Arabidopsis thaliana: one gene and its partners. The protein of the gene in region 1 interacts with the protein of each later gene in a pairwise test. Each region holds a gene or a part of one and is shown in the gene's direction. Other genes may lie near its edges. The genes, in order: BLH7, KNAT6 and KNAT7.

What was found.
Region 2: the proteins of BLH7 (region 1) and KNAT6 interact in binary tests that used the Arabidopsis thaliana proteins (3 or more experiments, as listed by UniProt).
Region 3: the proteins of BLH7 (region 1) and KNAT7 interact in a two-hybrid assay, tested with the Arabidopsis thaliana proteins (2 studies listed by BioGRID).

The regions. Positions count from the first base shown.
Region 1 is NC_003071.7:7,100,769-7,107,932, reverse strand, and holds BLH7 (BEL1-like homeodomain 7), read left to right. Parts: upstream 1-4,004; 5' UTR 4,005-4,518; intron 4,519-4,692; 5' UTR 4,693-4,732; coding exon 4,733-5,284; intron 5,285-5,369; coding exon 5,370-5,749; intron 5,750-5,830; coding exon 5,831-5,891; intron 5,892-5,987; coding exon 5,988-6,443; 3' UTR 6,444-6,664; downstream 6,665-7,164. Other genes in the region: AT2G16405 (Transducin/WD40 repeat-like superfamily protein), read left to right, coding at 13-150, 390-529, 736-783, 893-1,003, 1,183-1,358, 1,491-1,612, 1,723-1,799, 1,905-2,018; DRD1 (SNF2 domain-containing protein / helicase domain-containing protein), read right to left, coding at 6,751-6,754, 6,841-7,164.
Region 2 is NC_003070.9:8,296,791-8,306,874, reverse strand, and holds KNAT6 (homeobox protein knotted-1-like 6), read left to right. Parts: upstream 1-4,274; 5' UTR 4,275-4,382; coding exon 4,383-4,703; intron 4,704-4,841; coding exon 4,842-4,970; intron 4,971-5,071; coding exon 5,072-5,210; intron 5,211-8,886; coding exon 8,887-9,128; intron 9,129-9,217; coding exon 9,218-9,376; 3' UTR 9,377-9,584; downstream 9,585-10,084. Other genes in the region: MENG (S-adenosyl-L-methionine-dependent methyltransferases superfamily protein), read left to right, coding at 9,982-10,084. UniProt on the Arabidopsis thaliana protein: Plays a role in meristem function. Contributes to the shoot apical meristem (SAM) maintenance and organ separation by controlling boundary establishment in embryo in a CUC1, CUC2 and STM-dependent manner.
Region 3 is NC_003070.9:23,334,161-23,342,134, forward strand, and holds KNAT7 (homeobox knotted-like protein), read left to right. Parts: upstream 1-3,006; 5' UTR 3,007-3,307; coding exon 3,308-3,589; intron 3,590-4,487; coding exon 4,488-4,608; intron 4,609-5,162; coding exon 5,163-5,362; intron 5,363-5,456; coding exon 5,457-5,588; intron 5,589-6,047; coding exon 6,048-6,188; 3' UTR 6,189-6,532; downstream 6,533-7,974. Other genes in the region: AT1G62981 (transmembrane protein, putative (DUF1191)), read left to right, coding at 1-664. UniProt on the Arabidopsis thaliana protein: May be involved in secondary cell wall biosynthesis.

The DNA.
Region 1 (7,164 bases):
AACTTTATGCAGTTACTGTTCTCAAGTTTGGTCATATGAGTTCTGATATACTTGCATATGGAGCATCAGATGGAAGCTTAACAGTTTGTAGTCTCTTAGAAGAGCCTTCTGTCCTCAAGCAGTTGACAGGTCACTCTAAAGATGTCACAGGTTCGATTGACTGGTACTGTTACTTTTGTCTTTTCTGTATCTCAGTATCTGCTACACTGAATTGCTCTTGAATAATCTGAGAATATGATGATACATGGTACCTACTTTCTATGCTTTGTTAGGGGTAAGATTTGAGTGGAAAATGTAAAAGAATTATCTGTAATGGATAGAGCATAAGTGTGTATGTATGTCATTGGGTTTAGATCCTATGTCTAATATTAATACAAACTTCTTATCAGATTTTGACTTCTCGTCAAACAATCAATACATCGCGTCATCATCACTTGATAAGACAATACGAGTATGGGAGTTGTCAAGAGGCGTTTGTATTAGAGTTATATATGGAATCTCTCCACAGTATTGTATCCGTTTCCACCCTGTAAGTTTGATGTTCTTCATCATCTTTTTTTTTTTTTTTTTTGTCAAAGATGTTCTTCATCATCTATATATTTCTCCCTTGTAACAACTTGCAACTTTTTGTTTTGATTGTGAAAGTCGTCTCATATAAGATACTGAGTGCGGATGGTTTTTGTTGTTTTCTCTTGCTTCTCCATTGAAGATATTTCATTTCCATATTTTCAACAGGTTAATAACAATTTCCTCTCTGCTGGCAATGCAAACAAGGAACTCACGGTAACTTCACTACTCCTTGTAGCTAAGTACATTAGTGTATTGCTTTTTTCGTTTGTTTTCTAATTGTTTACTTATTTTATGCCTAACATCTCTCTGCTTGACAAAGTAGGTGTTCAATTTCAGCACTGGGAGAATTATTAAAAAACTGTTGTTTGAGGATGAGGTGACATCTATGGACCATGATCACACTGGCCAAATAATTTTCTGTGGAGATGGGCAGGTAACTTTTCTATACTGATGTAAAAAGATAAAAACTAGGGAGATGGTCTGTTATGGTTATGGTTGGCTATACCGATTACCTATGTTGTGGTCAAGACTGATCAATTTTTGCATTTGTTCGGTATGCTAGAAAAAGGCATTTCTACATTGTTTTTACAAGGTAGTTAATAATAATTGCAGGGAACTGTATATTCAGTAAGCATGGATTCGCATACAGGGTCATTATCCCGGTCTCATCGTCATCGTACAAATCACAAATCTCCTGTCACCACTGTGAAGTACAGAAGCTTCTCCCTCCTGGCATCAGGCCCTGTTCTGCTCACATGTACTCAGGACGGAAACTTGAGTTTCTTTAGGTTTGGCGACAGAACTACTTCTTTTTTTTCTTTCTTGTTTTTCCTTAAGAGATCCTTTTTTTTTTTTTTTTTTTTGTCAAGGTCCTTAGAGATCCTTATAATTGATTTTTCTGCTTTGTGTTGGTGATGCAGTGTTGCCCTTCAGATAAAAGGTTATTTGACTTTGCGTTGCTCCCTCAAATTAGCCCCGCGAATACACAGAATCCAAGCATCGTTTTGCCCGCTATTATCACTAGAGAAAGGAGAATACATAGGTTTGAATTTCAATCCTTCATTTACCTATAGTTTTGGTAATAGTAGATTCATAGGTCTCTTGAGAAGTGCAAGTCATTTTCTCCGCGTTTCTTCTTGTTTGAAACTACAGTTGCTGGAAGCGAAGACTCGAATGTCTACTTCTATGATCTAACCAAACCGAAGCACACATGTGTAAACAAGCTACAGGTTAGACAATAACTTCTTTTCTTTTTTTTTATCTGAAACTTTTGTGTATGGATTTTGAATTATAGGAAACAGGATTCACGAGTTGTGAGAAATGGATGCTTGCAGGGTCACAGGTTTCCAGTAATGTGTGTTGCGTGGAACCATGGGGAGAACTTGTTGGCTTCGTCTGATTTCTATGGTGTTGTCATTGTATGGAAAAGAGCAAAGACAAGCTCATAAGGTTTGTCTATAATATTATAAATGAATCTAAATCCGTCATTTTTGCCACAAAGGCTTTGGGTTTGGCATCATCTCTGTATCGCTAATCTCAAAACTGTGTCAATTTAGTTTCCCATCTCTTATAAAGATATAGTTCTGTGACACTCCTATGCACAGATTCAATAGCTTAAATGGTTGGAACAGACACGTCCTTAATGAGTTAATAACTCTTTCCATAGATAAGTTGGTAGACAATTTGAAGAGATCAAGTTAATTGTACTCGCAATGTTTTTTGTTTTGTCACATTATCATGAACCAGATTAATTATCAGTAAAATTAATGAAGATTACATAAACAACATTCCATTGTAGTCTAGTTGGTCAAGATACTCAGCTCTCACCCAAGAGACCCAGGTTCAACAAGTTCCGGCAAGCTGGTTCATCTAATTCTTCAGGGGACCAAATGGAATATGATACTTGGTTCTCTTAGAGAAATGTGGCTCTAGGATTATATTGAATTCAAATTATGTAACTGATGAGCATTTGGTGCTTATATTAGTGTGGAAGTGGTTGGACTAGATAATCATGCTAATAATTAAACGTATTTCAACCAGCAAAAAGAATCCGAGTGTTTTGTGTATTAATTCTTTTACTAAAAGCAATAGAATCTCAACTTCAACGTAAGTAGGGCACTAATAAAAACTTAACATTTACAATTCTCTTATTTCCCAAGCAAATATCTTCGGCGTCATGTTCATATTGGATTAATAATAATAAGAAGAAGGGTTGGTTGGTCGTCGTATATTATGAAGACACTCTTCCCTATCCACTGACTCTATCTGTCCATTGTCCAGGTCTCTCTCTCTCTTTCTCCTTCTGCCATCTCTGTCCCAATTCAGACTTCTTTCTCTTCGCTACCCATCATTTCACGTTCTTCACTTATCCACCCCAATTTACTATTTTTATTTTCTTTTCAAGTTTTTATTCTCATATTTTGAAGTGTAAATTTAAATAAAATGCTTACCTATGTTTTCCCACAAAATTAACTCTTGTGTATTTCGTAATTTTTTTTTTCATAGAAAATAACTAAATCACTTAATTCACAAAAAGTCTATTTTGGTCTCTCCATGCAAAAACTATAACCTTTCAGTGTGTTGGTAAGAAAAGGTGGTACCACCATTTTCTATCACACTAAGATATCTCACCACACATTTTAATTTGACTTACCTCTTACCACCATTTCGTACCACCTTATACTACAAATCAGACTTATTATAAAATGTCTTGGAGTTGGGATTTTCTCAATTTGTTTCTGATTCGTAATCGTAAAGTCCTCCATGACAAGATATGGACCTACACTTAGTGAAAAGAAAGTAAAAGTTAGAAAATTTGTAGAAATACCTAAAATCTGTGGGCACAAAAAGACAAAGCTAAGTGGGGAAAAAGGCCACTTATTCATTATTTATGAGAAAGAGATAAGAATATGAAGTGTTTTTTTTTTGTTTATTCCTTGCAAAAATAGTTGTATGCAAATGCAACTATATAGTAAATAGCATGTGGACCATCACAGATATTATTCGAAAGAACAAAAAAAAATCAAATGTTGAAACTTGAAAGTGAAATTTAAAGACAAAGAAGAAGAAACTGTAAAAAGCTTACCAAAAAAGTGAAATTATTTTATTGAAAAGAAGTTGAAAAAAAACATCCGTGTGTAAACTTTGACACGTCGTTACCCAAATTATTCCCCACTCTAATAAAGATGGACTAGTCTACACAAAAATTAATATTATCTTTGATTACAAATCGGACATGAAATATTTAAAAAATTGCATAGCACCAAAATTAGATATGAAAAACGTTCATTATATATTTGTCTTATTCTCCAAATATGCTTGATAAACACATTATTATAGAAGAATTACGAAAATATCTTTTACTATTGACACCAATCAGGAATATATCAAATATTTTTAGATAAGAATATAAAAAACACAGAAAATGATTGTATGGTGGTTATAGCTTCATTCAATTTTATTGCAGCAAACAAACAGAAAGGCCAGAGAGACGAAAGAGAGAGGCATTAGGGTTTAGGATTAGGTTTTAGAAAAGGGTTTAGATCTCTACCAACTGGTTTGTTAAGAACATAATCTCCTTACCACATTTTTACTCTTGAAAACATTTTGATCTGTTTTTGTTATCTTCACCAAAAGACTTGACTCCAAGAAACAAGAAGAAGAATCAAGAAGCAAGTTCAAGAACCAGCTTTTAATGAAATCTCTACTTCAAAAAGGAAACTTGCTTTAAGGAGGATGGATCTTTTGTTTTCTTGAATCTTTTGTGTGGGTAAAACATTTTGTATTATCAAGATTTTGATTTGAGGAGATAAAGAGTTTGTTGTTAAGTTTGTGTTCTTGGGATCATCAAGAGTTAAAACAAAAAAAAAAAAACATTTCTTTTTTCCTTCTTCAATTTGAGATTTAGTGTCTCCTTTAACACCCACAAAGCCAGCAGATGCTTTCCTGGTAATTCTTTAATCTATCCTTTCTTCTTCTTTTTAAATTCTTAAATTCATGCAGAGAGATAATTCTCATAATTTTCATTGGTTCAATTTCTTAAAATTTGCTTAATTAAGATTTTATTACATAATGTGAAGTATAAAAAGGGTTTAGTGTTGTTTGTGTTTGATTCTGAAACAGATGACTCCTTGTTTGATCTGATCATAAGAAGAAGAAGACTATGGCCACTTATTACAAAACTGGCTCAAGTGAGATTTATTCCAGACCAGAATTTGTCCCTGGAAACGCAATGAACTACACAAATTCTTTCACAGAGACATTTCCTAGAGATTCAACTAATAATGTGTCACCTTCAAAAGAGATTCAAGTGTTGTCAAGCCTTGGTGGAGTTTCACAAATGGTTGAGATTCAAGATTCTGGTTCTTGGAGAGATCAAGAAGACAATGACAGGAATCGCTTCCCGGTGATGAGGCGTCTTGGCCTCAGCTCGCAGATTGAGACATCGAGAGGCAATAATAACAATGAGTATGCAACACAGGTTGTTTCGGGATTTACTCGAACCATTCACAACTCAAAGTATCTCAAAGCTGCTCAAGAGCTTCTTGATGAAACTGTTAATGTTAAGAAAGCTCTAAAGCAGTTTCAGCCAGAGGGAGATAAGATTAATGAAGTGAAAGAGAAGAATCTTCAGACGAATACTGCTGAAATCCCTCAAGCAGAGAGGCAAGAATTGCAGAGCAAGTTGTCGAAACTTTTATCGATATTAGACGAGGTAATCCGCCTTACAACATATCTTCTACACTTGTTAATGATTCTCGTGGTAACATAAATGTTGTTTGTTTCTTTGTTGTTTGAAGGTGGATAGAAATTACAAGCAGTATTACCATCAGATGCAGATAGTCGTGTCGTCTTTCGATGTAATAGCCGGATGTGGAGCAGCCAAACCATACACAGCCCTTGCGCTTCAGACCATCTCGAGGCATTTCCGTTGCTTAAGGGATGCGATATCCGGACAAATCTTGGTGATAAGGAAAAGTTTAGGAGGGGAACAGGATGGATCAGATGGGAGAGGAGTGGGGATAAGCAGGTTAAGGAATGTTGATCAACAGGTAAGGCAACAAAGAGCGTTGCAGCGGTTAGGTGTGATGCAACCTCACACTTGGCGGCCTCAACGCGGTTTACCAGATTCTTCTGTTTTGGTTCTCCGTGCTTGGCTATTTGAGCATTTCCTCCACCCGTAAGTCTCTCTACTACTCTTGTGAATTTTTTGATTGACCACAAGAGACTCTGACCATTTGTTTCAAAACCTTGAGCTTAGTTATCCAAAGGATTCAGACAAGATCATGCTCGCTAGACAAACGGGGTTGAGCCGAGGCCAGGTATTGCACTGTTAGCTTTTGTGCCGTTTCTCTCATTTAATACTTTTCTTTCTGGTGTGTTCATTTTTCATTGTTTCGTTTGATGATTGTTGAAAGGTATCGAACTGGTTCATAAATGCGCGTGTGCGTCTCTGGAAACCGATGGTGGAGGAGATGTACAAGGAGGAATTCACAGATGCATTGCAGGAGAATGATCCCAACCAGTCTTCTGAAAACACACCAGAAATCACCGAGATTCAAGAGCTGCAAACTGAGTCTAGTTCCAACAATGGGCATGTACCTGGTGTGGCAAGCAGTAGCATGAGACAAAACACAGTGGCCCATGGTGGTGACCGGTTCATGATGGTGACTGACATGACAAGAAATGGTAATGGTGGGATGTCTTTAACGTTGGGGATTCAGAATTCCGATGCTCGTGGCGATGTTCCTATGTCCGGTGGGATAGATAACTACAAGAATACCATCTCGGGAACCGATCTACAGTACTTAAACTCTCGCAACCACCAGCACCAGATTGGCTCTTCACAATTGTTGCATGATTTTGTAGCTTGAGGAGAATAGAAAGGTGTAGAAATGGATTCTTTTGTGAAAGTAAACCCAAAAAACGAAATTGTAGATTAATGAGAAAACATGAGGAGACAATCTGAGATTAGACACGATCTGTTTCATATTTAAACATGAGGAGACCTAATTATATGGTTAGAGGTACATGAGATCAAATGTTTTGACATTAAAATTACACTTAAAATGCTAACAATCATTCAGAAAATTCAAAAGGATCTACCCGAAGTTATCTTATTGACAGGTTTCTAAAACCTAAGCATGTCCAAAAAGCGGAAGCACAAGTTTCTGTCTGCGTTTACCTGAAAAAAGAAGCATTAAGGAAGTTCAATAACAGAGAAATGTGAGTTGAAGAGTTATGTGTGGATCTGATCTAAACTGATTTTACCTTTTGTAGAGAACTCTTATGTCTTCTCTTAAGGCAGGACTTTCGAGGAACGTATCACCAGCTTCATCCACATCGATCGTCTCTACCTCAAAGTTTTGATATCCGCAGTACTCGTTCCACTCGAACCACATCTTTGAGATGACTTCCTTTTTGAAACAAGTGTTGTGATCCTCTTCCTCAGGTGATGACCCAGCAATCAATCTATATGCATGCACCATCTTCTTTTGTCCGGGTCGAAACGCTCGCCCAATAGCTTGGCGGGTCACAGAAGGGTTTAGGGGAACATCCAATATTAGTATGCGAGATGCTCCAACAAGCGAGATA
Region 2 (10,084 bases), on another chromosome or scaffold:
AATTTCTGACTAAAAAATATGGGACGCATATATTCTCCGACCGCAGTGGGCATAACACTATAACAGTGCTGATGCAGTTTTTATTATATAATTTAAAACAACACCTATGTGCATTTGTTAGTTTGTTACATATTCTAAACTTTCCTTATTTATTTTTATATTAAAAAGAGATTTCCTTTTGTATCTCAATTGTTTATATGCTCTATATTTAGACCGGATCTCGACTTAATTAATATTGAACATTTTACATCACTGAAATCTTGAAGAAGAAGTAAAACTATTAGTAATATACTAATATCCTATCTTGACCCAAAAAGCATAAGGTTACTATAACTCAATACGCATAACATTATGGTTCGTGCTACTTAAGCTGCATTTCACTAGATTTATTCCCCCATATATTCCATGAAAAGATATGTCATTAGTCACTCATGAATTACATACTATTTATTTATCTTTTTCGAGCTAATAAAACCACAAAGAAAATGTATTCATATTGTTTGTCAGATTGTCCACGTACCGCATTTGGATTGGTTTTTTCTTGTCACGTTTGGATTGGCTAAAGTTGATACTTTACACATTGGTTGAATATTTATTTAAATATAGTTAGAAACAAATTTTGGCTTACGTCCATCAGGAGGTGATGGTGTATATAAGGCTTGATTATGAACAACAAAGACCGAGACATTTGGTGCTCTAATCAGATTTCTAATCCAGAAGATTTTTGGTCCACAGACCACAGATATATCTATTCTGGGTTACTTTGTCCCTTCCTATAATAGCAGGTATGTTCACATTTAACAACTTTGTTGAGTGGGAGGTTTTTTTCTCCTAACATAAATGAGATCAATTATTACTCTGTTATGCTCAATCATGTCCAAGTGGTATTATATAATTCTTTCAAATAAACCCGCAATTTCTCTTTATGATATTAACACTGATTCCGAACTTTTATACCAAAAGATTTTCAAATGATTCTTATAGTTTTATCAACAAAAAAAAAAAAAAACAGATTCTTATTAGTTATGAATGGGCATATACAACCATTGCTCGAATCATATCAATTATATATCTTACAAACATTGCTGGAATAATATCGATTATTTGTTATGCATCATATTCCAAAACTAAGATATCAAGGGTTTTTGCAAAACAATACCCACATAAATATAAAAATTCTAAAATTAACAGGTTAAATACCGATATACCTAACCTAGATCACTCCTTTATTTGATGTAAAACACTTGACTAGTCGGCTACTCGGCTATAAACCTATAACCAGATATAACTATCAATTCAAATATTAAAAGTGTAACAACTAACAAGTGGTTCAAGCTGATGATGGTATGGGTATAAACTAGTAATCCTAACATTTTATAAAAGTTGGGTGAGGATCAACGGTCGGGATCCAAGGGAATGGGATGGAGGGACCAAAGCTGTGTTTGTTTTTTATATGGATTCATACGAAACCGTAACTTTGTGTCAGATAATTTTCGAACAAACATGGCCCGAAAATGGATGGGTCAATCAACCTGTCCATCAACGAAAAGACCCTTTTAACACTTTTTTTTAATAGAGAAAATAGAGGAACATATTTGATAAAATATTGGTTTATAAATCTTGTTATTGTTTTTCCGTTGATGATTTACATTATGGAAACAAGGTTTCGAAGCACTAAACTCATTAAATATGGTTGCAAATCTATAAATATTGGCTAAAAAATCATGGCTGGTCACTATGAACGTTGGAGATTAGTTTGGAAAAATTCCATAGTTATTAAAAAATGGTTGAGAGGCTTAGTAAATTTCCTCAATAATTTATTTGTTGGATCCTAGGTCACAATTAGAATGGACCACGAGCCGAATTATAAATTCAGTACTTTAGCTGCATGTATAATACGTAGACGAACTTTATAATTGGGTTACATATATTTATGTCGTCTTACATTATTTGGTGATAGATTATTGCAATTATATAGATAGGTAGGGAGATAGGTACAGAAAAATGAAAAGAATCTATCAAATCACAAAGCCTAGATATGTTGATGGAAAATGAATATAACATCGCACGTAGTTTCCTGAGCTCAATACTCAACATCAGCATCCAAGTGGCGCATCGCATGGATAACCAGAGAAAGAAAATATTGAACATTTTGATTGTGTCTCCAGAAAAAATTTGTATTGTTTTTTCTCACCAAGAATATGCATATGTGAACAAATAATATGTTAAATAAATAAATAACATATTTTCGTCTGATCTTTGCCAATAATAAGAAGGCAAACTCGTTTGTGATATATATATTGTTTTCGCTTTTGTGACTTCATATTTATCTAATTTCAAGTCTCCTTTCTTTAACTTAATTTCCCCTTGATTATTTATGATACGTTAGGTGATTTAGAGCAACCAATAGTTTGCAAGTACCTTTAAGATGAAAATGACTTTCTCTAGTCTTTGAGAAAAAAAATAAAAACAGAAACAAAGTTTATATTAAAGTAGTATGAAAGAACATGCCACTTTCTTGATTGAAAATTATATGATAGACGTAAAAAGCTGTCGACAAAACTAAAAGAATAGTTCCATTCGAAATATTATAGATGCTCTCGTTCTATTTTCTTTTTGGTTAAAGTGCTCGTTTTTTTCTTGATACTCTCTTTAAATTACGGCCAATTTCATAATTTCAAACTTAATACATATGTAAAATCATTAAATATACCAAATTATGCTTATGTCTATTTTTGTGAATAAATTACATAGTTCATTTTCATAAGCTAAAGTCATCATGAATATCAGCATCATCAATTTTGGCATAAATTTCATAAATCATAAATTAGCTAAGACCATTGATTTTGCAGCTCCTATACGCCTAGACCAGCGTTTATTTTATTCTTAGTTTTATCCACAAACTTGCTTTATACAGAACTATTCTAAAGTAAACACTAGCTGATACTATATACTAATTTAATCTTAATTAGACGATTTTCCATTAGGGCCTTCTTATCTACTATCTAGGAACGGACCTTCGCTTCTCGAAACCCATTTCATCCCGTACAATCGAAGTGTCCAACATCCGAGTTGGTAAAAAATTTCTTACTACGTAGTAGGTACTAAGAATCACTTATCATATCCATATATTCTTCACATTTGATTTATTTCATACCATCATTTGAATATATATGTGTTGATTATCATTTTGTTAGTAGTCGTGTTCGATAATTTTGTTCTGTATCTAGCAACAAATTTACAGTGACAAGTATTAAAATAATACCGCTCTTTAACTATATATATGTATGTATCAGCTCACTAGTTGTTTGTAACCAGTTCTTGTTTTTCCAGTTTGATATATTCGATTCAACATACCCAAAACATCTCTCATATACTGAACTAATATCTATTTCTAATTGACTCGATTCAATATCATTAGTACTATATTATCTTCTGATATGCGACTTCATTTGTTTTCTTTCTTCTGTTCGGTTTTCCACTTGTTGTTTAACATTTTCACCTTGTTTCACTATTTGCAATCAAATAAACGATTTATGTAGGTGTATCTATATATGTTCTTAGGATCATAATAAAAATATATTTTCTACAAAGTTTTTCGAAAATATATATACATTGGGGATTATTTTTTTAACTGTCTACAGCTCACACATGCATATTATCATATTTGAATGAAGATAACGATACAATGCCGATACTGATACAAATCATTATGTTAGATGCTCAATTTGTTTCTATAGGTCCTATAATATATACATCAAGTCATCAACTATACTTTTTGAAAAGAAAATTACACAGAGCTTTCAAATAAGTTGCGTGTAGTTTAGTGGTTATATGTACTAGTAGTTATGTTACCATCTAAGTGTATTGTCGATGAGAAAAAAAAGAGTTCAAATAAACTGACATAGTATGCTGGTAAATAATCACACTTTTTCCGTTTTTTCCATTTCGTTTTCAATAATATATAATTTTGTTTCTCGCCATGTTTCATTGATATTAAAAATCTCATGATCATGCAAATTCTATCATAACACAGCCTTGGACCTTTCTTAGATATATATGTTAGGAAGGCCTTATCTCGACCTATGAAGCCTGAAGCTCCATTGAGCCTTTTAGCATATGTCCTTTTTCGTAATTATCATTTTATTTTTCTTCTCCGTTAACTTTCATATCTTTTTTCTTCCAAAAGAAAATAAATTAAGATCCCTCGAGCCTCTCTCTCTCTCTACACACTCCCATAGAAATAAATATTTTCAAGAACCAAAAAGTTTGTTATAAGCGGTTTCATATTATTCTTCTTCATCGATTCTTGATTTTGCAAGAAGACAATTCAAGAAAGCGATTTAGAAGACGGAGGAGTTCTTACCGGAGATCTTATACTTATGGATGGAATGTACAATTTCCATTCGGCCGGTGATTATTCAGATAAGTCGGTTCTGATGATGTCACCGGAGAGTCTCATGTTTCCTTCCGATTACCAAGCTTTGCTATGTTCCTCCGCCGGTGAAAATCGTGTCTCTGATGTTTTCGGATCCGACGAGCTACTCTCAGTAGCCGTCTCCGCTTTGTCGTCGGAGGCGGCTTCGATCGCTCCGGAGATCCGAAGAAATGATGATAACGTTTCTCTAACTGTCATCAAAGCTAAAATCGCTTGTCATCCTTCGTATCCTCGCTTACTTCAAGCTTACATCGATTGCCAAAAGGTGATCGTTAACTCTTTCTTTTTTTATCACTTAGATAAAATCTAGGTTTTACTTTTTAAAGATAAAGATAAGATTGAGAAGCTTTGATATTTGATTGTTTTTTTTATAATTTTATGGTTTAACAATTTCATAATTTAGAAACAGGTCGGAGCACCACCGGAGATAGCGTGTTTACTAGAGGAGATTCAACGGGAGAGTGATGTTTATAAGCAAGAGGTTGTTCCTTCTTCTTGCTTTGGAGCTGATCCTGAGCTTGATGAATTTATGGTCTCTCTCTTTTTTTCCCTCGATTTTTTTTCGGATTTTTATTTTTGTTAAAATATTTTTTTTTGGAAATTTTTGTACTTAAGAAGATAATTTATTATCAGGAAACGTACTGCGATATATTAGTGAAATACAAATCGGATCTAGCAAGACCGTTTGACGAGGCAACGTGTTTCTTGAACAAGATTGAGATGCAGCTACGGAACCTATGTACTGGTGTCGAGTCTGCCAGGGGAGTTTCTGGTATGTCTTAAATTATCCCTCTCTGGTTCGGTCTTTTAGTGGTTCTATTTTGTGGTTAGTTCTGAATGATTTCTTTTGATCTTTTCCGTGGTTTTTCATTAATAATATCCTTTCCTCGATATTTCCATAGGGTTTTGATTCATATGACCAGTTTCTGAAAAATGATTGGTAGCTTGTTGATAGAATAACCCTAGGCTTTTGAAGTGATCAGAAAGCAAAATAGATAAAAAATGAAAAAAAAGAAGATAAACCCTAGCTACAAGTTTCATTTCCATAGCTATTTTTCCCTTGATGGGTTTTGTTTTGTGTGTGCTTTTCTTTTGGGCACGTTGAAACTCTGGAGACAAAGATCTGTTTAAGGTGTTGTGCAATTATTTTACTCGTTCATTTAATGTTTTAGCCATGGGATTAGGGTGTTGGAGTGTGGTGGGGATTTCCTCTTCTTCTTGTTGTTGATCTTTGTGCTAATCATACAAATTTTACTTTATATCTTTTTCTCTTCTTTCTCTGTCAGAAAGAAAATGGTGTAGAAAGCAATAAACTTTTGTGGTAGAGATTCTGATTTTGACGTTTCAGAGGCTTGTTGCGTACTGAATGTTTTTTCAACTTGTTGCTTTTTTCTAGTGAAAAACCAATTGACAGAAAAACCTAGTCATAACTTTTTAACAATATGTGTAGTTGATTTTTCATGAGCTTCTTTTGCTTCACTTCTCGTTTAACAATAAGTAAGTATAAGTACTAGTCATAACTCATAAGTCGCTTCACTCTTGTTTATGGGTAACAACCTTATTAGGTTACCAGTTTTTCTAAGACTTCAACTTCTTTTGGTCAGATGATTATTAATAACCAATAAGCCATAAGAGTTATTAGCTGTAATTCCTCTTTAAGCTCATTCACAGATTCTCTGGATCGGAATTAATAAGCGTGTTTAGATAATTTTACGATTAAATTTCTGTTATATCTTAATAACACACCATATAATTTTTCTATCTAATTAAATAGGTTAAAACAATAAAGTTAAAATTGTATTTTAAATTTAATATAGAAGTCTACAAAACGACATTCTTTGTGAAATAAAAATTTAATCCTGAATTCGACATTTATTATGAAGAACGTAACTTTGGTCTATTTCAAGTTTCAATGATCTGAGAACAAGAGTAGGGAGATTTTTGTTGATCATCGGAAATAGTATCATTGCCAAGTGGCCACTCTTATCTGCATGTTCTTGTTGGAGTCTTGTTGGACTTATATGTAAGTAATAAACCAAAACTGACTCAATTTTGAAGCGATTTAAAAGTCTAGGTTTTATGCTTATACATGAATGAAATGCTTCAAATAAGTGACTTTCTTTGTGGTTTACTGATATTATCTCTTTAGACCACATATTGTACTACAACTAGCAAAAACATTGTGGCCATAACAAATCAACCGATCAGGTTAGCTAGAAATACTGATCCTTAGGAGTTTTTTTTTTAATACAATAAAATAGAAGAAAAACTCCAGCTGAAAGAGTTAGCTGTAAAGAAATGAAACTCCATAGATTGGTAGACTTTTTTTCAGCTTTGCAGGAGTTTTCCATTATCGTGGTCGATCTCAAATGCAGGTTCCACTTGTACTTTGGTAATATTGTTTATTGGGGGAAAAAAGCTGCTGATATATAAAAACATATCAGCTTATCTTTATAAACTAATCGAGAGTTAGCATAGAGTATCAACTGGAAAAGTTGAAAATAGATCGATGCAGGTTTTCCATAATGGACGAATGTTTATGATTAATAATTTTAAAATTTGTTCAAAGTACAACTTGCCTTTTTGAATGATCTCATCTGTTTTTTTTTTCTTTGGTTGTGTGCTTTATTTAACCATCTTTTTCTTTCACCTGAATGAAATCATAAACTAATAAAGAAAAAAGAAGCTTACAATTGTTAGACAATATTCACATGGGATGCGATGTTATCTACTAGTTTCTCAGTTCAATCACATGCTTGGTTTCTTTCATGTTGATCTGATTTAGTAATACAAGTTGATCACATAGACTTTTGATTTCTCACTTCTTGGTTGTTGTGATACGGTAATGCAACTTAGCGAAAGCCCTTCTTTGGACTAGCTAAAAAAGCAACACATTCTTTTCTTCTAATGCGTGGTTATCTTGCTACTTAGAGTGGATGGTCTCTTATTGACTTTTATAGTCAACATTTGTCTTGTTGCATGCAATATCATCAATGTTACATGTTTGCATATTTGATCTAGAAGATAAGAATACTGCAACGAGAAGAATAGGAACATAGTGCATGATTAGCTTGAATTAGAGGTTCTTTTGGTTTTTGTTATAAAGTAAAAGGTGGAAAAGTCACATGGACTCCCGTGGATTCCGCTAATGACCCCACCAACTTTCTCTCCTAAGATTTTATTTTTGATTTGGTTATTAAAAAAAAAAGGAGACATAGGGTTCTCTACACACCACAATCAAATCATCTATAAGACTGCGACTATGCTTCTTCTCTATCTTTCTCAACTCTTTTGCCATGCCCTCTGGTTGCGTTGTTCCCTTGGTGGGTCGTATTATGTCTCTCTGAGGCACGCTACTAGCACGTGTCTACTTGCATGTTACCTTCTTCAGTGAACCCTATTTTCAAAGCAGTCAATGCATTGCTGAAAATGTAAATAATAATCCCAACCATACAAACTATCGTTTTTTGCCATTAAACTGTTACCCTAACTACTCATATGTGTGTAATGTGAACGTAATGGTCTCTATAATATATGATCAGTTCATGTTTTATGCATTTTAGTATATTTTTATTGGCCTATTTAACATCTCTATTTCCTTCATAATTACTGTGGCTGCTGTAGAAATCTTTTAACTTTTATAATATGTTTATAAAACTGACTGAATTGCGTGAATTATAAATTGACTGAAATTACCTTGGCTGTTGTAGAAATCTTTTAACTTTTTTTAATATATGTTTATAAACTGACTGAAATTGCGTGTATATATTATGTAGTCCAGTATTTTGTGTGACTGACTAAATATTTTGACTAAGCACGGTTGCTTGGTCCGACTATATATTCTGTCACATAGGCAAAACTATTGTAAAATCAGGTAATGTTCTTGAATCGTCTTTGGGTTGAGTTTTGGTGTCAGAGAAGCTGGGTAAGTGGGTCAGTAGAGTCGTTGGGGCATATATATAAATGTCCAAATACATTAAAGAAAGAGAGAGAGAAAAGGAAATTGAGTTTTGGGGTATCGTGGAGAACATAAATGAGAGGTGTAGCGTTATTTCCGGGGGTTCACACAACCTCTAAATGGTATTTACACGTGTCATATTGAGATTGGGTAATTAGTAGGCCTAAGGGGGGATGTCTCCTCATGGGGACAAGACTATTAGTCCTCTCCTGACAAATGACAATGGAGGTAACTATTCACTGCGGCGGTTTTTTGACTGCTGCACTCAATCGTGTGCGTCCTCGATATTCTCTACCCCTTACCACTCTTTCTTCTTTCCCTTTTTTGCCCTCTTTAGCCACTTAGCCGTTTTAGCCGAGAAAGCCCATTTAAACTTTTTCATGGTAGTGAATAGTGATAATTCTGTTACATTTACTTGCTATAACCTATAACCATTCTCTGTCTTTGATGTCTTTGTATAGTGATAATTCTTGTGAATTTGGTGTAACAGAGGATGGTGTAATATCATCTGACGAGGAACTGAGTGGAGGTGATCATGAGGTAGCAGAGGATGGGAGACAAAGATGTGAAGACCGGGACCTCAAAGATAGGTTGCTACGCAAATTTGGAAGCCGTATTAGTACTTTAAAGCTTGAGTTCTCAAAGAAGAAGAAGAAAGGAAAGTTACCAAGAGAAGCAAGACAAGCTCTTCTTGATTGGTGGAATCTCCATTATAAGTGGCCTTACCCTACTGTAAGCAAAAGCAACACTTGCATGTTTTCCGACATAACTAACCACTACACTTATATATAAATGGGTGGTATGAATGTGTGTGTACACAGGAAGGAGATAAGATAGCATTAGCTGATGCAACGGGGTTAGACCAAAAACAAATCAACAATTGGTTTATAAACCAAAGGAAACGTCATTGGAAGCCATCAGAGAATATGCCTTTCGCTATGATGGATGATTCTAGTGGATCATTCTTTACCGAGGAATGAATTTATTTATGGTACTTATTTAACGTTGATTAAAAGATGGATGTATAATTCTGCCTTGCTTTGCCGACAAAGGAAAAAAAGAAAGAAAGAGTGAAGCATGGACGACACATGAAATGGATCTTACACTCACTCACATGTAGTAGAAGGAACAAGTCAAAATGCTTTGTAACTATTATTATCGGTGAATAAAAATAACCTCTTTTGTCTTCTCCGGACCTCTCGTGATATAGCTTTTACCCTCTTATTGGCAAAACGTTGAACAAACAAAATACTTAGATAGGTTAGATTTGTTTATTAACTATGTGTTTTTCAAAAATAATTATAAAATATCTTGTTATTTGTGTAAATCACACTAAATTAAACACATTCTTTTATTGACAGTTTAATCATCATGTACATTTTGCTAATTGTAGCCAAAAGTTTAGCTATCTAGCAATTGGAACCTTGTGCCCATAATCCAACCATCTCTGTTTAAATTTTGGGGTGGGTTTCAAATTATCCTTATTGGGCCTAAAATCGGCCCAATATTAAACTGAAACCAGACTTTTATCCAATCCGAGTAATCGGAACAAAACAACATGATCGTGTGAACCAACGGCCAAAAAATGGCGGCTCTACTCGGTATCGTCTCTCCTGTGACTTTCACCGGAAAGCACCCGGTAAATTCCCGATCGCGACGGAGAACGGTAGTAAAATGCTCGAACGAAC
Region 3 (7,974 bases), on another chromosome or scaffold:
ACAAAGCTTGGGATCAAAGTGGTCCGATATATATTACAAAAACTATGATCTCTCCGGTTATAGACTTGTGTCTCCGGTTCTAGGGCTCTTAGCTTATAACGCATTAAACGATGTTGTTTTAGGGAATAACGTGAGTAGCTCTTATCAGATAAGTCTCCTCCTAGCCCGTACTAAAGATCCATCCAACGTTGATTTTGGGAACGTTTCTGGACCGTCGGTGGTAGAGAGAACGTTCTTGAATAAGCCAATGTGCGCTACTTTTGAACTTGATGGAAAAGTAACGCTTGCCGCCGAAGTGAAGCCGTTTGTGTGCGCCGTTAAAACCAATGGACATTTTGGTTTAGTGGTGACGGATGATCCAAAATCGAATGGTGGAGGAGAAAAGGAGATGAAGAAGGAGAAGATCGGACGGTGGAGGAAGGTTGTTGGAGGGCTTGTTGGGTCTGTGACGGTGGGGGTGGTGCTTTTAGGGCTGGTGGTGGCGGCTGCTGTAGTGACGGCAAAGAAAAGGAGAAGAAGGGCAAAAAGGGAAGAAATGGAGAGAAAAGCTTATGAAGAAGAAGCTTTTAGAGTAGTGTCAATGGTGGGGCATTCTAGGGCTTTCGTTGCTTCTGCTACAAGGACTTCTCCAGGTTTCATGGAATATGAGTTTGTTCCTAATTAATTAATTATATTTACGTGTGATTCCGTTTTTGTGGATTGTTTTCTTTTTTTTTTCTTTTGTAAAAACGGTTTTAATTTATGTTAAAATGCATGTTGTTGGGGGTTTTGGGACATATATATATATTTCGTTGGTGACAAGTAAGGTACGTATGGTGATGATTTTTTCTTTCTTTCACGGTGATGAATTTACAAGGTAACACCGCTAGTGGCCTAGTAGTAAGTAGTAACTATTAAAGAAAATCAAATGAGCAAAGTTACATTCAAAGTCATTGATAAACAATAAAACATGGTCATTTTTTACACCAAAAAAAACAACATGATCGTTGCCTACACGTTAATTAACGAGGCATCAAGAATTATAATTTGATGAAATATGCCGTCTGGCGTCTTCATAAGAATACAATATGTTTGATGAAAATCTACCTCTAATCAAATGGTAGTTTTTTTTTTTTTTTGAGGAGTCACATAGCTAGGAAACGTTTTATGCTAGTAATATCACACACGGAAACAATTACGAACCCATGTGTACAAGTGTTTAGGCTTTGAGACCTTAATGAAGTGCCCAATGAGAATTATTTTTAGGTCCACCAAACTCACAATATTATATGGCCCGTACATTAAATCACTAAAACTTAGTATCGTGTCACTAATAGTATCTCATTGTTCTCTGATTAATGGCCGCATTATTATAAGTTTTTTTTTGTGTCAAAAGCATTATTATAAGTTGAGAAGTCGTTTTCATAGGACCACAAATTGTTTCAGATGTGAGATGTCTTAAATCTTAGGCTTAAGAGAACGACAATTCTGTCCCTCTTTTCTTTGTTCGACCAACTCTGTCTTTGTCCCTCTTTATTTTGTTTCTTTCATTTTTCTATACGAACGAATATTTTTGATGTCATTGCGTAAAACAAAAGGGAATTTGTACATAACTACATAAAAAGGGAGAAATGGAAAGTAGTTTTTCCATATTGGTGAAGGCGTGCATTATTCTCTTTTTCATTTAATAATATGCAAAATCCTCTTTTAATTTGTATTTTTTATTTTTGTTTATAGAATATATTATGTGCTATTATTTTAGTTTTTTTTGTGTCATGTATTATTGGCATTATTAAAAATATTTGATCTAATCCTATTACGATATAAACTACATGCAACATATGCAATTACAACGACCAAGGATTCCATTGTTATGATGAAATATTATTTTAGTTTTTGTAATTAATTGCAGTTTTTTTTTTGCAAAAACTTAAGACTACTTGGATGGCTATTGGCTCCAATATGCCAAGCCGGAGGAAAACCAGAAGATTTAAGAATATATTTTTTTAAACGATGAAGTGGAAAAATAATTTTTTTAACGTCCAACATGTATGTTCAGAAGATTTGTAATTCTGAACGGAACTATTACATGACGTTACAAAAAACCATGCCACAAGAGTATCCGGACTTAACAACGTTTCACAACACATCAATTTTTTTTTTTTCAGTTTTATGGATATTTCTGAAATTCTAGCTAAAAACTATTAGTATATATTAAAGTTCATATATCAAACTATTGTTTGTGTGCTATATTAACTTCATATCAAACTAGGAAAAATATGAAAGCATTTTTCTATCTATCAAATAATACTGCAATTAAATTATCAGAGTGTTACTGTTTTAAGGTTATATGACTAAGAAATGGTGCATCAAAGCTGTATCACATTTTGTCCAAAAAAATTTAACTGTATCACGTAATTGAGTATTTAATATTTTAAAAGAATAACTAATTATATTTGTTCTTTACCAAAAGAAGAAAACAAATATACTATATTTCTATACTATTAAATAGTATTATCAATTAGGTGTTAATACTATTTGTTAAGTGGGCGTTAGAGGATTAGGTGTGTCTACCGGTCCTGTCGTTAAAGGTGGGAAGATATTTTATTTTCCTCATTCTTTTTCAAAATTTCAACTAATTTTTAAGTTCAAGTTGTTGATCACTTATTAGGTCTTAAATCATTGTCACGAGAAGGAAAATAAAAGTGTTTTTAATTTTTATTTTAAGTTTACATTTTATATACATACATATACACGTATTTATGATTTTTGTAAAGCACGTTGTTAACGTGCACTTTTTTCATAACTTTACGTCAAGGTATATATCAGCATATTGTGGAATCAAACATATATATAGTAGCAGTTTTCTAGACTAAAGTAATTCAGATTAATTGTAAAGATAACAATCACCGTATAAAACAATCAACGTCCGTGTGTTTGTATTCACATATCTGATGAAAATTAGTAATTCTAGTTTTCAGTCTTTCGATTAACAATACAAAAATAATACTTTCAATATAATTTGATCTATGTAAAAATAATATATGGTATGGCCGGACCAGACCCGTGTATAACAAACATTGTTTTAAATGTATTTTGTATACAAATAAGACAAAATAATCTATAAACAAATAATGTATATTTTTAGAAAAGAATGGAGTGAAAAACAATTAAAGGGGAAAGAAATCAGGACAGCTTTATATAGGTTGATTTCATCTGACAATTCTCTCTCTCTCTCTTTTTCTAATCATACGAACACAATCTGCTTCAAGAATTAGGGTTTTGATCAGACACAAAAAGTATCTCTCTCCGGTCTTGTGTCAAGGTTATGCAAGAAGCGGCACTAGGTATGATGGGAGCCACCGTAGGCGGAGACGGAGACACCGCGGTCGTGGCGGAGCAGAATAGACAGTTGAAAGGTGAGATAGCGACACATCCGATGTATGAGCAATTATTAGCCGCACACGTGGCGTGTTTAAGAGTAGCTACTCCAATAGATCAACTTCCGATCATTGAAGCTCAGCTTTCTCAATCTCATCATCTTCTCCGTTCTTACGCTTCCACGGCCGTTGGATACCATCATGATCGTCACGAGCTCGATAATTTCTTGGTACGTTTGAATATAAATTTATTAGTTATATTTTAAAAAATAATCTTGTTTGGTTAAATTACTTACAAGTTCTGTTTCTATCTTTTTTCATTTGAAAGTTTTTTTTTGATGGTTTCTAGTGGACTAACTTTGAATGAAGTTATGATTACTAACCAATCTCTGTTGGGAAATTATGTTTCAAACAAATTATGTTTTTTTCAATGATTTTCGTGTTTTACTTTTTACAAGATCGTTGGGAGTTTTATCGATCGAAGATGTAAACCTTTTGTCAATATATCAACAATTTCTATAAATTTTATAATTACTAATTCCTCTTGTGGGAAGTTATACTTCAAACAAATTATGTTTTTTTCCAATGATTTAAGTTATTGGTATTTTTTTACCTGATTTTTGTGAAGAAGTGGTTTTGTTCAACTTTCATGGAAATTTATGTATCTTCACACGAATGTTCAAATGTATAATACACACACATAGATGTAGATATGGTTTTTTGTATAGTTAGGTGCTAAATTTCACATAGAGTGAGTCAATGTTAAATGTCATTTTGTAATTAAATTGAAATTCTATTTAAACTTTGAATATTATCATGTTAGTTACGATTGATTTTCTACTCCGACCTAAAATTTGCAATTGCATTAAAGTTGGAATTGATATTGCAACTATAATTTTGGAATTAGCTTGTGAAATGTTCCAAAAAAATTCGGTTTTATTTATATTTATTTAAGTTAGGTAGAAAATAGGACTATATAATGATCTAACCGCTCAAAACACACCACACCAGAAGCACATATTTATATGTGTGTATGCATATATGTGGAAAATGTTTACACATTGAATAATTATATGAAATGTGAGAGGATATATAAAACATTTAACAATTATAATTAATTGGAAACAGGCACAATATGTAATGGTGTTGTGTAGCTTCAAAGAACAGCTGCAACAGCACGTGAGGGTTCATGCCGTCGAAGCTGTTATGGCTTGCCGTGAAATTGAGAACAACCTTCATTCTCTTACAGGTTCTTTTCTTTTCCACTTTTTTAATGGTATTTTTTATAACCCAATTAAAAAACATAACTTCATGATAATTACATGTTATTATATATACCACATAGCTATAGAATCAGAAAGTACTTAAGATATATATAATTAAAATTCCTGTTAAAAATTAGCGATAGTTAAAACAAATAATAGAGTTAGGTATATCTAAAGGTTCTTGCTGATCATACCAGATATGAACAACTAGTAAACATATTAAATGTAAGGTGTTGGAAGATGATCAGGAAGAGTATATTATATGCCCACACAATAAGAAATAGAGATTTTATTTGTGCTTATATAGTTATATTATATGATTAGTCTAAAGATGAAATTTCTTAATTATACGAAATTATTAAAAATATTTATTTTTGCACTGATGACCACGTAAAGCGTGGGATGTATTGATTAGGATTATTGTATGCGTAAGGGCATATCAGGCTTGAGCCTAAGTTTGGGCTTGGGCTTGACGTCTAAATCTTGTAGTTTGACTGTTGGAGTAACATTTCGTTTAAAACGTTCTGTATTCTTGTAGGAGCAACTTTAGGAGAAGGGTCGGGTGCGACTATGTCGGAGGATGAGGATGATCTTCCGATGGATTTCTCGTCAGATAATTCCGGCGTTGATTTTAGCGGCGGCCACGATATGACGGGATTTGGTCCGTTGCTACCGACTGAATCGGAAAGATCCCTTATGGAAAGAGTCAGACAAGAACTCAAACTAGAACTCAAACAGGTATAATTAACTAATATGTTATGATTCACAATAGTAATACAGTTATTTTACTATTTATTTTCTTGTTATGACGTTTGTTTATTTTTCGGATAAGGGTTTTAAATCGAGAATCGAAGATGTAAGAGAAGAGATAATGAGGAAGAGAAGGGCTGGGAAATTGCCAGGAGACACAACTACTGTCTTGAAAAATTGGTGGCAACAACATTGCAAATGGCCTTACCCTACGGTGAGTACTCTCTATATTTTACGAACAACAAATATAGTTTCCGTCTAATTGTTTGTTTGGGTTTACGTTTTCATGAAATAATATGATAATCATTATAACATGAAACAACAAATGAAGATAGATATGTAAATGCAAAGAAACAATCAAGACCCATTTTGGTTACACTCAAAGTCACAACATGCATTTTTTTTCTATTCTTCAAACATACTGAATTTGTTACTAATACTCAAAAACACTATACATCTCTCTCCCGTTCAATATTTGGCACAAGCCAAAAAGGTGGACTACAGTCTAAAGTTGCATGCTATAGTGGAAAAGAAATAGCCTTTGACGCTATCAGATCTGCACATGCATTGGCCTCTCTTCGTTGAAACTGAAACTGATTGTTTTTGTTTTCTTTCCTAAAATGTCATTAACAACAACAAATTTATAATGTAAAAAAATATGTGTCTTGAACAGGAAGATGACAAGGCAAAATTGGTGGAGGAGACAGGATTGCAGTTGAAGCAAATCAACAATTGGTTCATTAACCAACGCAAGAGGAATTGGCACAACAACTCTCACTCCCTCACTTCCTTGAAGTCCAAGCGCAAACACTAATCTCTTCTTACTATATTAGTTACTACCTCTACATATATTCATACTAATTACACTGCTAAGACATGCATGATACATACGTAATTCATGTTACTGATAATAACGAGGTGTGATCATTAATATCATGTACTTACTTAGCTTATTAGATCCACCGACTACTATATGATTTGTGCGTTGCGTGATTACTGGTTGTTACTAGATTGTAATTCATTTTGTTTGTATTGTGCATTCAAATTTATCTTTTTGGTAAGAACACTGATTTTGTAACGTGTTTTCCGTGGATGACTAGACCATCATTTGGAAATATAAAGTAATGATGCCGACAAAAAAGGCAGTGTTTTATAAAATATAAGCCATATCATAATATCTTTGGACCGATCAATGAAAGAAATCGTCCATAAAAATGGATTAGTTTAATTCCAGTTTAGATTATTGGTATTCTCAAAAACTAATTAACGTATAGTTTTCTAGTTCTTTATTTGATACCAAGATTTGTGTAACTTAATATTTTCAAACGAGTTTACAAACACAACTAGACCGAGAAATAGATATATGATGTATTCATTAAAAAAGAAAAAATAGCTCTTGAGATTGAGAACTTGGGATCTTACTATCTTAGAAAAGTCACCACATGCCGCCATCATTTGTCCACTACGATTCAGACAGAAGATCCGATCTGTTTATATATATATATATAAAAGTAAAGACATTACTTTATGCCTTATGGTAACCCCCGATTACTATAACATTAAACTACTAATTAATTTGACAAAAGAAGTTGGACTGACTGCTTAATAAATGAATGTTAGTGACATACGTATATATTTTCGATAACGTGTATGGTATTTAAGGGCAGGGGGATTTGTACATTTGGAGTTTTATATGCTTAATATATCAAATGTTGTATAGATCCAGATCTTTGGTTTAAACCTCATTAGTTTCGATGTCAAATCAATTACAATATATATAGAAACTTTGCAATTACAATATTTAGTACCAAAAATCGGTGGAATTATGTACATATGAATATGATATAAATCACTACATTAATTTGTAATTGAGATGTATCTGTATATTTATTGAAATGATACTATGTTTAAAGGGTTACCGATTCGTTAACGGGTTCTTTTGCTAAGTTAGCTCTTTGATCTCATAAGATTCGGATGCTTAATATAATATACGCATTTATAGTCGATAATTGTGAATTGTAAATTCAAAACAGTAACGTGTTTTAAGTGTTTTTTTCTTTTTCTTCGAACTTTTTAATTTTCACTATTAAAAAATAGTATGAGTAGTAGTTGACCAGAAAAAGGGTGGTAAAAAGAAAAAAAAGAGATTCTTTAATTAAAATTGCAACGAATAATACATATTTTAAATTCAGACACCCAATGAAGTGGAATCTCCTTTGTGTTTAACTAATAATTTCTCACGCCACCGCTTTCACAGATCTCTGTCTAAAATTCAGACAACAATAAACTATTTTAAACACACAAAACCACTACGAAACACAATAATTCATGTTTAGGGTGATCTGTCACATATTATATTCATATATTGAAATAATTTTTTGTTATTCCTACTAACACATTTTTTTCAATGACATTTCCACGAAATAAAATTTATAAAGTCTTCTTATATTTACTGAATAAAAGTTCTACATTATGCTATTAAAAGTGTATAAAGTAACAACAAATTTATACATAATAACAAGTTTTCTTATAAAAATATTAATAGCATTTTTTTTTATCCATAGAACTATTTTTATCATATAATTTTAAAAACGGGATAA